Linked DNA regions of Tribolium castaneum. The protein of the gene in region 1 interacts with the protein of each later gene in a biochemical or structural test. Links are inferred from orthologs where the notes say so. Each region holds a gene or a part of one and is shown in the gene's direction. Other genes may lie near its edges. The genes, in order: Mekk1 and Mkk4.

Region 1 (7,937 bases):
ATCAGATCGAGAGCTGTAAAAGATTCATGAGCTTGTCTTGTCGGACTGTTCCTTGCTCGAAACTGTTGAAGAGTAAAAAAGATAATAAAGTCAAATGTGACGAAATTAGCAATGAGGAGTGTTCCGAAAATCGAGTCGATTTTTACAACACTTTCTCAATGCTAATTCGAATGGGCTGCGGTGATAAAACGCAGGAAATGAGTCACAGACGCGCTGTAAGTATTTTATTTTATATTTTTTTAAGTCTTAAGTGTTTGTTCGGTCTAGAACGATGATTGATCAGTATTTTATTTATATTTTCTTCTCGATGTTATAACAAGGCCATAACTAGTATTGACTCTGAACTCAAAAAAATCAGTGTTTGGTTTTTAAGAAACTAAATTTTAATCAAACTTTGATATCTTACAAACTATTTCTCGTAGACAAAAAATGAATTCAGATTCAGAATTCTTGAATAATTTTGCTCATGAAAAACTCAGAAACAGTTAAAAGCTTTGATCTCGTACAATTTTGATGAACCAAACTTAATAATGGTTTATAAGTTTATACCAGTTTTTAATTGTTTATAAATTATTATTTAAACTTAATATTATTGCATTGTCAGGGAGATTACGTGTGTATGTAAAAATCCAGCTCGGTCGGATAACAGGAACTTTTTCAAATTTGATTCGCAAAATATGAAACGGATAACAAAGCAAGTTAAATAAAAACTTAAAAAGACGTTTGTTTGTTAATAGAATATACATTTTTTATAAGTTTTAATAAATAAAAAAAGTAATTGGACATTACATAGTATGCGGTAATTTTTTTATTAGTTTTTAATGTCTCTCTAAAACAAACGATACTTAACTGTAGTTTTGTACAACATCGAAAAATTGACACTAGACTAAATAAAGATCAAAAAGGCAAACCAGGGTCTAGAATTCGTTAAAATGGTTCAAGACATCAAGAAATTCCAACATTTAAAAAATTAAAAGTGCCCATTTCTTCAAACTAATCTTTACCTTAAGGATACTACTAGCTGTAGTTGAAAAATAAGAACAGTTTCGAAATCCTCAGACAATTTTCTATAAGAAAAACTTATATCACATGTAGTAAAAAACATAGGTATTCAGAAATCTAGAATAATCTAAGCTCAAGTATATATTTTGATCCGAACTATCTAGCTTCAATTAAAAAACAATTATAAGTTTAAAAAAAAGTTTTATTTTTTAAAGATAACTAAAAGGTAAAAAATGTTTTTGTCAAAGGAGAGTATTTTCGCTTACAAATTATGATTCTAAAATTTATAAAAACTTTGGGGGTTATTAACTATAGGATTGCATTGTCATGATTATTACGTAAGTATGCAAAATTTCAATTCATTCTGACAACAGAAACCCTTTTAATTTGGCTCGGAAAGTATGAAACATACAGTCAGACAACAAAGCAAGTTAAATAAAAATTTTAAGAAAGTACTCATTTCTTAATACAACTATTATTGTATCTTGAGGATCTAAACTTTGATTTTAAAAATTATTGGTTATAAAGCCAGATTCGAAATTTTCAGATCATTTTTCTTGGGAAGAGCTGAAGTTTGAGCTGTTTTGATATATGGGTTAGTTATCCGTAGAGTTAATCTAAGATAAATAGTATTTTCCACATTTTGTGGAAGTTTGTTATCACTGCTAAAAACAAACAAATGATGGCAATTCGCTACCTCCAACAACTTTTACTGAACATTCATTGTTTTTGCTGAATAAATATTATACCTGATGTTTAAAACTCGCACACTACCGTTGTTTAATTTTTTTTATAGCTGAGCAAGGAGGAGCATTTGTGGCAAAACGAATTTAAAGATTTGATTTGGCTTGAATTGCAAGCGTTCCATGCGGACCGAACCCCAAGCGAAGAAGACAGATACTTGTGTTCCGAACGGGAAAAAGTTGAACCTCTTTTACATGATATAATGACTTATCGCTACCAAAAAAATTCGAAATGTTACTCGACCCAAAGCAGCGACAGTGGCGTTGAGGACGACTGTTCTGGTTGTCTTTCAATCTACTGTGGTTCGTGTCTTGAGGCCCAAAACGAAGCCCTTAAAGATGTGGAAGAATTGATGCAAAGATTATCAGCGGTGGAAGCTTTGTTCCCTTCCGGACACGCTTTTGCCGAACTGTACCCATTATATAACAGTCCTGAGTTCATAGCGAGGGTCAAGGCTATCAGTTTATGGTACAACATGACGCGACAGCAGAGACTGAAACTAATGATTCTTGTTAAATTATTAGAAAATAAAGTGAGTAGAGATGATGATAAAAACGGGACGGAATCAAACAGTCCCAGTGATAGCAATAACAGTTCCTCATCTTCGGTAAATGAGTCGTTCTATGATTGCAAGTCAAGTCAGGATGCTACTGTTTTTTCTTTTGCGCCTTTTCCCTTCTTACATGTGCATAAGTCGGAAAGCTCGGTCTCACCATATCGAAAATACATCGAAAACATTCTTAAAACGCGATCGCTCCACAAAAGTTTGAGTTTCTTGGATCATCTCCAAATGGTTGTTTTGCGACGTGTTCAGCTAACCTTGACCAAACCGGAAACCGACGATATTTACAACAAAGTGACTTGTGAAACGGAAGATGAAGAGTTGCAACGTTTTGGGTACTTTAGCCCTGAAGCCAAAGCCTTGAACTTGCCATCCTATCGTGCAATTTTTCTCTTCCTTGCCGCAATTCCGCTCAAAATGATACACGAGTTTTTGAAGATGCGTTTGGAGCAAAAACCTGAAAAACCGTCTCCTTTGAGCGTCCGCCAACTGATGAGGGAGTTAAAAGAAGGCTTAAAAGTCGCAACGCAACAAAAAGAAAAGATCTTGAAGTACATTGACGGTGCGATCTCTGATAGCAAAAAACCGAACGATGTGTTTGAAGAAAAGATGAGGGATTATAACGAGTGTATGTTGCGGGTGTTTAGTGACTATTTGGACTATCTGGAACAGTGGGCCTTGTTGCACCATGAGACTTTCCAGAAGAATTTGTTGGAAGAAGAGTGGCATTTTTCGTGTAATGTGATTAAGTATATTCCGGGCGGGTCGGAACTTTTAGGGAAAAAGTTTGTGTTTATTTTGTGTTCGATTTTAAAGTCGGTCGCTGAAAGGCTGCACGATCGGATCGAGGACGTGCTTTGTAACATGCCCAAAGACGACAAAAATATGATCAAGTAAGTGACGGGAATGTTAATTTGTTGCCAAAAAAATTAATTCGATTCGGTGGGAAATTATAATAGTTTCCGCCAATTCCATTGTTTGCTGTTTATGTAAACAACAAACATGAACAAGCTTTAAATTTTTATTAACTGGAAGCGACAAATGATAATTTGATATAAGCGCTGTTGTAAATTTTTCTCGGCTAAACAAAGTGGAAATGAAAAAATGTGCAGCTGAAGGTCGCCCTTTATCGCTATTTCAGTTGTATATCAGTCAAATGCAACAGTCATGTGTTTGGAAAGTTTAAATATGCAATGAGTATTTTATTATCGCAAAAAGATAAACAGTATTTCACGCTTTTTTAGGGAAATTACTTCGTGAGAATAAATTAATAACTCGAATGTTTGCCTAATAGAGCGGTACAGTAAAGGCTCTTTTATCCGATCCTCCTGTAAGCAGCAAGTGTATTGACTGCGTTTGATAATTCGAATTGTAATTACTTTTTTTTTCTAAAATAATTTCAACTGCAAAAAAAACAGTAAAATTGAAGAAACCAATTAAAAATCTTTTTGTTTTTAGTGTTACTAATGTAGTTCAAAATCATTTGTTGGTTTGTTTTAACAGAAACTTTAACGTATCTCAGCTAAATTACTCCTCACATCATCTAATCTGAGCAAGTTGAATGAAAGGAAACCAGAGACCTATTTTACGATTAAAGTTTTCAACTTTTCATTTTAAAATTATTTCATAATTCACCATTACAAAAAAAGTGCTGAAATGTAGTCATTTTTTAAATTTTTTAACGTTTCCGTTGTATCGTTCCCTATTTTTGTTAAGGTAGAATGCAATTTAATGAAAAATAAAGAAATTTATTCTAAATATTTGCTGTGTCATTTTTCAGTTTTCAAGCGTTTTATAAAACAATGTAAAAAGAAAGATTTATAACAATCATTAATACAAGTGAGAAAACACAAGCTTAAAGTTCGAGGCTGTCGTTATGCAACGAGCGTATGCGAGAACTTTAAGCGTTTTCGCATAAGTGTTATTCAAATTTTTTTTAATGGGAACATTGTAATTTAAAACACGTTGCTACGAGAAGCGTGTTTTAAAATAGTGAAAACACGTTGCTATCGAAAACGTGTTTTAAAATAGTGTTTATAATATAGGATTCAGATTTTAAAAAGAAGGCTTAAAATGTAACCGACAAAAAAATTAACAAATCTTACTATTTATTTCTTAGAAGCCTGATTTTAAAATTGCTATGGGGACAAAAAGAAAGTTTAAATTGAAGTTATTCCTAATAATTGAATTTTCTTGATATTTTGTTAAATATTTTAATAATTCAGTAATAAATACTCGGAATTTTTACTCGTTTTAATCCGTACTTCAAAAATCTATGATCTGCAGTGTCATTGCAATAATTAATCTGGATTAGTTCCATTTTTTCAATCAAAAATTTTAATCTCCACTAACAAACTATTCATTATTTAAAGCCGAATTTTGCCTGAATACTAAAGATTTATAACGGAACTGGGTGATTTCAACATACACTGCAGACGAAAGCATACTGATTATTTTAAATTGTTATATTCCAGGCAAACCGTGTTCGTCATTTGCCGCGAAATGCAGTCTCTCTTCAACGAAGAGCGCGAAATGAGCATCAAAACCATTGCTTTTTGCAAGACTGTCTTTCGCCACGACCTTCACCCTGATTGCAGATCAGAACTAGTAGTACGTTTTTTCTTCTTCATAATTAGCCAAATCAATAACTAACATTTTAGTGCTCAATAATTTCCCTAAAATGTTCAATACCCGACGCCATAGGCCGTGTCCAGTCCGAATTCGATCAAGTCAAACTAGACTCATTTGAAGAAATCGAACGAACGGCTATAGTCTCCCGCACAAGGGAAATCTTAATGCAAGCCTACCGTTTCGGCTTCGAAGTACTATAAAAAATTCACAAGCTTCACCGTCAATTAACTTCCAATTTTTTAGTTTTACAAAGAAATGTCCGATAGCATCCCTACGGACAGGCGCGAGAAACTCGCTAGAAGTATGGTACAATTTGCGAATTTGTGGATGAAATTCGTGACTGAACGATGCGAGAGGGGGCGAGGGATGAGACCACGGTGGGCTTATCAAGGGTTGGAGTTTCTCTTAACTGTGTGTGAACCTCGAAACACTAAGCATTTGACGGAAGAAGAGTTCGAAGATCTGAAGAAGAATATGGATGTTTGCATAAGTCATGTGATAGGAACTACGGCTCCTTCGACGCCGGAGTCAGGGTTTTATTCGGCGTCGCCGAGGAGTTCGATTGAGCATATAAGGGCCAGGTCGAGGGGGTCGTCCCCGAGTCCGAGGCCTTCGTATAAAAGCCAAAGATCGAATAGTCGCAAAACTAGCATGGAACAAGGGTCGCCGGTTATTGATAGTTTGGATGCTATTAGTTTTAATCCACACAGGTAAGTGGGTTTGCTTAGTTAATTTTCGAGTGCGAGCTAAACCAGAATTTTTCTACGAAGAAAGCTAAATTTTATTGCAGATTCTCATTGACTAAGTTTTTGTTAACGCTTAAAAAAAATTCTATTATGTCTGTTTATTATAAAAATGCCTATTCGGTGAAATAAATTTTCTAATTATTATCAGTATGAATAAAAACTAAAAATGTATGTGATAAAATTTTAATTACTTGATTAAGTTGTCTGGGACAGTAACCCAACTCTCGTCGGGTATAGTTAATAAATAATTAATAAAATTAAGGGTAATAAAATTATCTGTTTTTTTTAAACTAAGAAATCCAAATTGAATGAAATTTGAAATTTTAAAATTGACAGAAAATGTGAATCTAATGAAAAATTTAGAGAAGACTATCAAATTTTGCAAAATTTGTAATCGAGTTTGTAACAAAACATGTAATGTTGATGCATTTTACAGATGCAGGCTTCGTAAAATTACGTGAACCACCCTGTATTAAGATCTAGAAGCATATTTATTTCTTGCTATTTCTTTGTTTTCTCTTGACTTGTGGTAAAAAATGTTCGGCTAAACATAAAAATGTACGCAATTTTTCCCAAATTATTTAATTTTTAATTATTTGTTTAATTTTTTAATTTTTTTCCCTTGCTTTTGTATTTCCGATGTTGTCGGATGCGATTTATTGGCGAATTTGCTGGTTTCTTAAATGTTTTGTATTCCATAAGATTTCTTACATTGGATAAACTTTTAATCTTTTAACATTTTATAATCAAAAAAAGTTTGGTTTGTCAATAACTTAAATTTATTAATCGGACTTTCTTTTCATTATCGCGTCGTTATTTTTGAAAAATTGGTCGTATGTTTGGCAACTGAAAATGTTAAGCTGAGAATCGGACATTGTGATCAAAACAAAGTTCATTTGGTCGAAACTGTAATAGTACTTACCTTTTGCAAGTTTTCTCTTTAAATTTATTAAAAATTCTGATGGATTAGTTATTTTAATTGGCGAATGTTCAAAATTATAACACATCTATTTAAATAATTTCTTACTTCAGAATCAAGGGCCAAACAAAAAAATTATAAGATACACAAAATGTTTAGACATAACGGATTTTTCTCATACTTGGGTAACGTCTAAGAAAAATAAAGCTTCAAATGTTTAAACTTATTAATGATAAGTTCTTTACAATTATAAAAAAAATTGCAACTAAAACATGTAATTTTAATAGTAAATTGGTTTCTCTTTTGTACCCTTTTTTTGCTGCACAGGAAATTAAATTTAATTGTTTACAAAAATTTGATTCATACACATAATTTTTTCTACTGTTAAACCATTTATGGACCACTCTAAGATTTTTGTATGCCATCATTTCTAATTAATTTTGAATTTTACCTAACTTTTTGAGAACTATAATTTGTAAAAACCTCGTGTTCATTGACTTTGTTATTACTAATTGTGAAACAAATTAAACAATCTGCTTAAAACTGTTTCGTTAATTAGTCTATAATTGCTGTAGCAGCTTCTGAAATAGAATAAAATAAAATGTTTGCCAAGTGAACGCTTTCTTGAAGTATTATCAGCTAACTGTGCGAACTAAAGTTCAAATATAGGTCTATATTTGCAAAATTTAGTAAAAATGTTAAATTTTGAGTTTATAATTCGGCTAAACGAGATTACAAAAGTACCACGTAAAGATTTTGTGAGATTTTGCGGAAACGGGAGAGAATGAATATTATTCTCCCAATTTTTTGGTTCAGCTCACTCGAAGACGGTTACGCCTCCATTCGATGTTTTGCGCCCTTTTAATTCGTTTATTGGTTATTAAATAGCTGTAGAAAGGATGAGGCAAACGAGCGATTAACTCGGAAGCAGCTCCGATTAGAGTCAATCGAAAATCTCGAAAGTTACCTTGACGACAAATTGAGAAAGCAGCAATTAATTGGCAAAGTGGTGACCTGCAGTAGCGGCATCGAAAAAGTCCACATCCGCCGAAGACTGCGCGAGGTGACCTTCACCTGGCAGAGGGGCATAAAAATCGGGCAAGGGCGCTTTGGCAAGGTTTACACCGCTGTTAATAATAAAACCGGCGAAATGATGGCAGTCAAAGAACTACCGCTTCAGCATAACGATACTCATACCATCAAGCGAGTGGGCGAAGAAATGAAAATTTTAGAAGGCATTGTTCATCGTAATTTAGTGAGATATTACGGAGTTGAGATTCATAAGGTAAGTGCTTCTTGATGTTTGTGCGGATTTCATGTGCAAATAAACAGG
Region 2 (8,622 bases), on another chromosome or scaffold:
GAGAAAAAATCACAACTTGAAGAATTGCAATTACAGTTGGGCAAAAGAGAGGAGGAGTTGGCCCAGGCTATGGTCCGAGTCGACGAAGAAGGCGCCCTTAAGGCCCAAGCCCAGAAAGCCCTCCGGGAGATGGAAAGCCAACTCAGCGAACTACAAGAGGATTTAGAAGCGGAAAAAGCCGCCAGGAGCAAGGCCGAAAAATTAAAACGCGACTTAAACGAAGAACTTGAAGCGTTGAAAAACGAACTACTGGACTCACTTGATACCACAGCCGCCCAACAAGAATTGCGTTCAAAACGTGAACAAGAACTCGCCAATTTGAAGAAGAACTTGGAAGAGGAGAACCAAGTCCATGAAGCGACTTTGGCCGACATGCGCCACAAACACACCCAAGAACTGGCTTCCTTGAACGAACAATTGGAAAATATCAAGAAACAGAAAGCCAGTATCGAAAAAGCGAAGCAAGGACTCGAAGCCGAAAACGCCGACTTGACAAGCGAGTTGCGAAATGTCGGAGCGAGTCGACAAGAAGGCGAACGGCGAAGAAAACAAGCCGAGAGCCAATTGGTCGAAATCCAAGGCAAGCTGGGCGAAATTGAACGAGCTCGAGCCGAACTTGCCGAAAAAAATCAAAAACTACAACAGGAGATGGACAATGTGGTCCAACAGCTGGAGGAAGCCGAACTGAAAGCGTCCGCAGCTGTGAAGAATCAAGGAACTATCGAATCGCAATTTGCCGAGGCACAAAGTGCCCTGGAGGAGGAGACACGCCAGAAGTTGGCTTTGAGTTCGAAACTGCGCCAATTGGAGTCGGACAAGGAGAATTTGCAAGAACAGATCGAGGAGGAGGAAGAAGCGAAGAAAAATCTCGAGAAACAATTGAACGCGGTTATGGTCCAACTGGCCGAAGCGAAGAAAAAGGCCGAAGATGAGGCCGAACAATCGGCGATTTTGGAAGAAAGCAAGAAGAAACTGGCCAAAGATTTGGAGTTGTTGCAACGTCAAGTCGAGGAATTGACCGCGGCCAACGACAAGTTGGAGCGAAGCAAGAAGAAGATCGCCGCCGAACTGGAAGATACTAACATTGATTTGGAGGCGCAGCGCCAGAAAGTGGCCGAGCTGGAGAAGAAGCAGAAGAATTTCGATAAAGTCTTGGCCGAAGAAAAGCAAGTCAGTGAGCAACTGATGGCGGAAAAAGACGCCGCTGAGCGAGAAGCCCGCGAGAAGGAAACTCGAGTCTTGTCACTGAGCCGCGAACTGGACGAATCCAACGTCAAAGTTGAAGAACTGGAACGCATCAAGCGCCAACTTCAGGCCGAACTGGACGAACTGGTCAATAATCAAGGCACCGCCGACAAGAACGTGCACGAGTTGGAGAAAGCCAAACGTTCGCTTGAAACCCAACTGGCGGAACTGAAAGCCCAGAACGAAGAACTGGAAGATGAGCTACAACTCACCGAAGATGCAAAACTCCGACTTGAGGTGAACATGCAAGCATTGCGGGCGCAATTCGAACGCGACGTCCAAGCCAAGGAGGAGCAAGCCGAGGAGAAACGCCGCGGAATCGTCAAACAATTGCGCGATTTGGAGGCCGAACTGGACGAAGAACGGAAGCAAAGAGCGGCCGCAGTCACCGCTCGAAAGAAACTCGAAGGCGATTTGAAAGAGCTCGAAGCTCAGATCGAAATGCAATGCAAGATGAAAGAAGACGCGTTGAAACAGTTGAAGAAGTCGCAACAGCAGTGCAAGGAGGCGGTGCGAGACGCCGAAGAAGCGCGCGCTTCGCGCGACGAACTCGCCGCCGGGTGTAAAGAAGCCGAACGTAAAGTTAAAGCACTCGAAGCTGAGGTGCTTCAATTGAGCGAAGATCACGCCAGTTCGGAGCGCGCTCGTCGAGCTGCCGAAGCCGAACGCGATGAACTGCTCGAAGAGGTTAATAATACGAACAGTAAGGGGGCGTTGTTGATCGATGAGAAGCGGCGTCTTGAAGCTAGGATTGCCACGCTTGAGGAGGAGATTGAAGAGGAGCAGAGTAACAATGAACTGTTGCAAGACCGGGCAAGGAAGGCACAGTTGACTATTGAGCAATTGACGAGTGAGTTGGCCACGGAACGATCACTGGCTCAGAAACAAGAGTCGGGTAAATTGCTGCTCGAGAGACAGAATAAGGAGTTGAAGGCCAAGTTGAGTGAGTTGGAGACGGCACAAAGGACCAAGACGAAGGCGACGATCGCGGCGTTGGAGAGCAAGATTGGGAATTTGGAGGAGCAGTTGGAGGTCGAGGCCAAGGAGAGGTTGGCGCAGCAAAAGACCAACCGGAAGTTGGACAAGAAGTTGAAGGAGTTGGTCATGCAGTTGGAGGATGAGCGGAGACATGCCGACCAGTATAAGGAGCAAGTGGATAAGGCGAACGCACGGGTTAAGACGCTGAAGCGGCAGTTGGATGAGGCCGAGGAAGAGATAACGAGGGAGAAGGCGCAGAAGAGGAAAGTGCAAAGGGATTATGAGGATATGCTGGAGAGTAATGAATCAATGACGCGGGAGCTTAACAGTCTTAAGACCAAACTGAGGTGAGTTTTCACGTCAAATTACACGCTTTCGTTTCATCTCTCACGCAGTCATTCGGCCATTCCAGGTAATGAACCTGACACCGAAATTGAGTAGTAATATTATTTTTTATCTTCGTAACTTTTGCGGTCCCGTCCGTTATTGATTTCTTACGTCGTTAAAAAAGTCCAAGAAATTTAAATTTTCATTCTCTGAATATTTTTTTTAGTTATTTTCACACATAAGATTTTTTGTCCCATCCGTTATGTATAAACAAAAAGTAAACACAAGTCGTTATCCATTGCCTTGTTCTTCGTTTTCGTAGTTTTAACAAGTTCTACATTTTATTTCAATAATAATTATTGTAATTAGTGCTTTTTAAGATAGCACAATAATGATTTTCAACAATAAACAATTTTTTTTTGTGTCCCGTCCGTCATCAATTTGTATTTTTTACAAATGGGGCTGTGATTATAAAGTGAAAGCAAAGTGTCGCGTTCGTTGAATGGAATGGCTGTTTCACTTTTCCACTTTTGTTCACCCTCTTTTGGCTCTTTCAGCATTAAATGATAGCAGTTGCGTTCTTCCGGTGATCATGTGGTATGTGGTGTTTGATGGTATTAGCCTAACCGTTTTTCTTTCGCTTTTTCTGTTTGTTTTGCTTGACTAATGACTGGATTTGTTGTTGGTTGTGTGTTGATTTGTGGGTTTAATGATAGGCGCGGGACTGGGGCTAGTAGCGGCATGGGTCTGCCCAGACTCAGCGGTCGGGGCTCCATCCAGTCCGGGGGCAACGGCTCCGGTGACGATTCCACAACCCAGGATGACGCCATAGACGGCGAAGACGCCCCCAATTAGGTCGCATTTTTACGCATTCGGTTGTAAATATATTTGTATATCCCTTATTAGTACTTAGCATTTTTAATATGCGCATTTTGTGGATTATTTGTAAAAATCGGACAGTCAGTTCGGCGCTTAATCAGTATCAGTAATCAAGTTCATTATTTTTTTTATTTATAGTTTTTTTATTAATTTTAATATCGTGCTTTATAGTGATTAATTTGTACTTTTAACAGTTGATTGCATTTATTTATATGAAAGTCTACTTGCTTAATTTGTTTCTAGGGTTTCATCGTACTTTACCTTTTATAAATTTAGGAATTAGTTGGAAGCATCAGCATTTAAATAACATTTATGTATCTATTAATAATAATAATCAATAATCGCTAACGACAAATGACATTTTTTATACAACATTTATAGGATTATATATTTTGTAAAAAAATCCCGCTAGCATCGAGGAAATTTTGATATTTGACGTTTTTGTATAAAAAATTTCAGGTTTTTGTATGTATATATCCTTTTCATGTATAAAAAATATATACATATTTTGGGTTTCGGGCTGATTTATTTGTACTTTAACGAGTTCAATAAAATCGTAAAAAAGTCGACGTTTTTAAATTTACTGTTACCAAGCAAGTAACTTCAAATTAGCACACGCACACACGATTTTCGTCCAGTGAGTCTATTTTACCCCGACGTCCCCTACACTGTATTACAGGTTGCATAGGCTAAATCTAACCTCAACAGTAGGACTTGCTGATTTGTGTCATTATAAGCCCAAATATGCACTTTTCTTACCACTTGGAGTAGTTATGTAATGTAATAATACAGTAGTGAGTCCCTCTTGTTGAATTATACAAAAATAAGTCTTTGTTTTTAGTTTAGGATGTCTCTCATTCGGCTTATTTCCCCCCAGTACAGCCAAATTAAGCCTCTGTGTACTGTAACACAGAGCGAATTTAAGACAGTTTATAAGTTCCCCTTCGTCCGGGGCGTAGGCCTAATCAACCGTCTCAAATTATACCAAACTCTTTTAACCTCAGTCGCGCTACCAACAACTGCAATTTTAAATCAGTTAAACATTCTTTCGCACGACCATGTCCTGTTCACTGCAACTCTTGGAATTGCGGGAATTGTGCCTTTGTACGGTCTCGGTTACTTTGCAAATAAACTAGTCGGAATAGTGTATTTAAATGAAAAACAAGAGCAAGTCAAGTTTGCTTATTTGAACTTTTGGGGGTCCCGGAAAGACGTTGTGGTGCCTTTGAAAGACATAGTGCCACTTTCGGAGCTGTCGCGGTCTTTAACCGACCCTCTGTATTTAAAAATTCAGCAGTTTTCATCCAAAGAAACACTTAAGTTGTGTGTAAGGTATGGTGTCTTAGATCAAGCAGGCTTCAATAAAATATTCATAATTTACGAGGTGTTTATTAAGTTTAGCTCCATCTATAATGTGCGTAAGCCCTATTGGCCTCGCACTGCTTATGCAAGTCTTGTTTCCGCTTAACTACTCTTCCTTTATTATTTGCGGCGTCAATTAGCTCCAGCGCTAGCTGATAATGGAACCTGACATTCTTATCTTTCTCTTTGCTCGCCGCTATGAGCCACTTCATCGACATGAACTGGCTCCGCTTTGGCGTGATTGGCACTGGGACTTGATACCTAACACCCCCACGTTTTATGGGTGTTAGGTTCATTATCGGCTTACAATTCTCCACAGCTTTGTGGAAAATCGCACGAGGGTCCAACTCAATCTGGGCTTTGATTTCGGGGTCCTGGCACTTGTGGTACTTCTCCAATTGGATTCTCTTGATGTTTTCAAACGCCTGTTCTATTAACCCCCTAGCCAGGGGTTTGAGCCCGTCCTTCATGACATAATTGGTGAAAAGACTGTAAAAGTGTATTGAAGCGAATTGGAGCCATCGTGGGGGCCTTACTTGACTAAGTCATCCTGAGTGTGCGAACAAGTCTGGTTATTGAGGGCTGCCCTCGTGGGCATGTGGGTCAATTTCTGGGCCTCGCCGGTTTTAGCCAACTCTTCTTGAACCTCCTTCTTATAGACCGGCTGTATGTAATAACTTGGGTACTGCGACATGCCATTTTTCTGGATAATTAGGCTAAAAATTGACCATTGGAAAATGTGTGGTTAGGGGGACCACAAATGCGGAAATTGGCAACAACAAGTGTGAGACCAATTCGTTTAGTGATGGTAACGAAATTTGGGGCTTGTTTACCTTAAAGTGGGGACACTTCCTTTAATAATTTTCAAATTATTTGAAAATAACTTAATCGCAGCCATGTTAACACGTGCGCATGCCCGCCGCACACAGTCGGACAAGCAAATATTGGACGATGGTACAATTGGGTGCCACAATGACTTGTGCTGGTCCGTTGTATTCCCACTGTAGCCAACCGTAGGCTTTTTGTAGACGTCAAAATGGCGTCGTTTAGTTCCATTCCAGGCAGTTTTTGAGTGAGTTTTGAGTAAAAATCAAATGTTAATCGGTTTCGGACACCAGACTAAGCTTAGGGACGCTTCGATGAGCTAGTTCGGCACGTTAGTTGTGTTTTTCGCGTCTTAAATTTGGTCGAATTTTTGTGCAAAATGGCAGATCAGTCCAATCAAGGTATGTGTGCAAAGTTGCAATTGTTTTGTGTTTATTGGGGGCTGCTTCCAGTCCGGAGGCCTATGCTGAGCATAGACTTGCCCAACAGTGTGAATTCCATCGGGGGCTTTCGCCCGCTGCCCAGCCAGCCGGGGGCCACCAGCGAGCGTTTGGGGGCCGCAGCCGGGACAAACCGCCCCAAAATGAGCCTCCCGACCATCTCCAAGTCCACAGTCGATCCCACGATTGATAGAACGCGGTGAGTTTTGTTGCGACTTGTTTGTTTTCAACTCATCTCTCATTAATTTGATTTTGAATTCGCAGTTTTGGACCGAGTGAAAGAAATAAACAGCAAAGGTAACCAGAGTCATTTTTCGTGTTTTTGTCTTTGCATGGTCGAGTTTGTGTGTTTTGTGATTGTACGGTTTGTTTATTTTTTATAGGGATTCCCGGTTCAAAATTTGCCAGTCGATGAATTCCTCAGGGAAGCTCCAAATTGGGGGCAAAACCTACGATTTTACGTCCGATGATCTGCAGGACATTGGGGAGATAGGAAGGGGCGGTTTTGGGACTGTGAATAAAATGGTGCATAGAAAGTCGGGAACTGTGGTTGCGGTGAAGAGAATAAGGTCAACGGTTGATGAAAAGGAACAGAAACAACTGTTGATGGACTTGGATGTGGTGATGAAAAGCAACGAGTGCCATTACATCGTGCAGTTTTATGGGGCGCTGTTTAAGGAGGTTGGTTGCTTTGGGTTTTTTTGTTTTTCAATCTTACGTATTTGAAGATAAACGAAAGTAAATTTGTTTAGCGGTATAAAAACACCAAACTTGCACAATCGTGGATTTAATTTATGTTTTGATAAATTAGTAAGCGTTCTATTTTTAAATAGAGAAGCAGTAAAACAATGTTAATACTTATTTTTGAGATAAGGAATTGCATTTTTTTCTAACAGTATCGCCAAAACTACCTGAAAAAATACCAGATTGATGTTATTTTCGCATGTTTCATTCGATTAGTTCGGTTTTGAATTGTTATTATTTTATGTAATGGCAAAAAATAACTAGGTCCGTTTGTTGCATATTTTATTCACATTATTCAAAGACTTGTGAAGGTGTTTCTTGCTCTATGATGTAAGTTGCAGGGGGATTGCTGGATCGTGATGGAACTAATGGACACCTCATTGGATAAATTCTACAAATTCATCTACGACAAACTGGGCGATCGAATTCCGGAAGAAATCCTCGGAAAAATAGCCCTAGCGACTGTGAAAGCCTTAAACTACTTAAAGGAGAAACTAAAAATAATACATCGAGATGTAAAACCAAGCAATATTTTACTAGACAGGAAGGGAAACATCAAGTTGTGTGATTTTGGAATTTCGGGACAGTTGGTCGATTCAATTGCACGGACACGTGATGCTGGATGTCGCCCGTATATGGCTGTAAATAATGCAGATTTGTGGTGTTTTTCCCAAATAATTTGCGTATTTTTAGCCCGAGAGAATCGATCCACAGACGGCCAAAGGCTACGACGTGCGAAGCGATGTCTGGTCGTTGGGAATAACGCTGATGGAGGTGGCCACCGGTCGTTTTCCCTACCCGAGATGGTCGAGCGTTTTCGACCAATTACACCAAGTCGTTAACGGGGAACCCCCGCGCCTTACCGAAAACCATAACGCCAATACTTTTACGTCAGAGTTTGTTAATTTTGTAAATACTTGGTAAGGCGGCAAGTGGTTTTTGTGTCCCAAATTGATTTTTCCCTTCACTAGTTTAATAAAAGACGAACACTCCAGACCAAAGTACAAGCGACTGCTCGAAGACCCGTTCATTTTGCGGGCGCAGAAGGAGAAAGTGGACGTTGCAGCCTACGTTTCGCGCATCATGGACGAGATGGCGAACAACGGGATCAGCGCGTTCACGACGAACCAGCAGTGAAGTAAGCAGTCAGGTGATGTAGAGAAAACTGTTAGTGAGTTGTCGCTTAATCATTTATTGGTTGGTAAGTTTGTGCAATTGCGCGGCGTTCGCGATTCCTTGGTGATAAACTCGAGATGAGATTTCAGACCAATCGGATTAAATCGAACTAATTCGCTTGAAAACAATCTGACAATACTATCAAATCGTTCGGGGTTAGTCCGATTTAAGTGTTCTATTGATTGGTCGCGTTATGTTTAGGTTCAAATGTAATAAATAATAGCTTTAGTAACGTAAATGTTACATAGATGAAGCCACTGATTAAGAAAACAGTCCATTGTATATAATATAGTACATGTCCGGTCTTGAGTTCGAATTTAATGTGATGTCTTAGCATTTATTGGATGCATTCGAGGTGCTTTTCGCGTATATTTTTCTTATTTTCAAATTGTTACCGATTTTAAACAATAAAACGTTGCCTGTTCTATTGTACCATGTACGATCTTTGACTGTATATAATTAGTGTATGTTGTTAATATTTAATTTTTTACTCAATTGTTTAAGAATAAGCAAATTGTACGTTTATTTACGACACGATGTTGAGTATGTAAAGTAAAATTGTACAGAAAACAAGCAACAGTTTATTATCGCTCCCAGATACGGAAAATCACATACATGGTTTAATGCCTCCACAGTAGAGCAATAC

What was found.
Region 2: the proteins of Mekk1 (region 1) and Mkk4 form a complex in vitro, tested with the Homo sapiens proteins (2 studies listed by BioGRID, with this or other methods). The link is inferred for Tribolium castaneum from reciprocal best matches to the Homo sapiens genes MAP3K4 and MAP2K4.

What each region holds. Positions count from the first base shown.
Region 1 is NC_087397.1:8,506,980-8,514,916, reverse strand, and holds part of Mekk1 (mitogen-activated protein kinase kinase kinase 4), read left to right. Parts: coding exon 1-215; intron 216-1,798; coding exon 1,799-3,201; intron 3,202-4,782; coding exon 4,783-4,918; intron 4,919-4,968; coding exon 4,969-5,130; intron 5,131-5,182; coding exon 5,183-5,649; intron 5,650-7,492; coding exon 7,493-7,889; intron 7,890-7,936; coding exon 7,937-7,937. UniProt on the Homo sapiens protein: Component of a protein kinase signal transduction cascade. Activates the CSBP2, P38 and JNK MAPK pathways, but not the ERK pathway. Specifically phosphorylates and activates MAP2K4 and MAP2K6.
Region 2 is NC_087399.1:2,894,905-2,903,526, forward strand, and holds the start of Mkk4 (dual specificity mitogen-activated protein kinase kinase 4), read left to right. Parts: upstream 1-5,813; 5' UTR 5,814-5,995; coding exon 5,996-6,017; intron 6,018-6,068; coding exon 6,069-6,255; intron 6,256-6,320; coding exon 6,321-6,353; intron 6,354-6,439; coding exon 6,440-6,737; intron 6,738-7,135; coding exon 7,136-7,441; intron 7,442-7,493; coding exon 7,494-7,720; intron 7,721-7,771; coding exon 7,772-7,937; 3' UTR 7,938-8,622. Other genes in the region: zip (myosin heavy chain, non-muscle), read left to right, coding at 1-2,570, 3,267-3,405; mRpS7 (small ribosomal subunit protein uS7m), read right to left, coding at 4,827-5,280, 5,328-5,507, 5,625-5,689. UniProt on the Homo sapiens protein: Dual specificity protein kinase which acts as an essential component of the MAP kinase signal transduction pathway. Essential component of the stress-activated protein kinase/c-Jun N-terminal kinase (SAP/JNK) signaling pathway.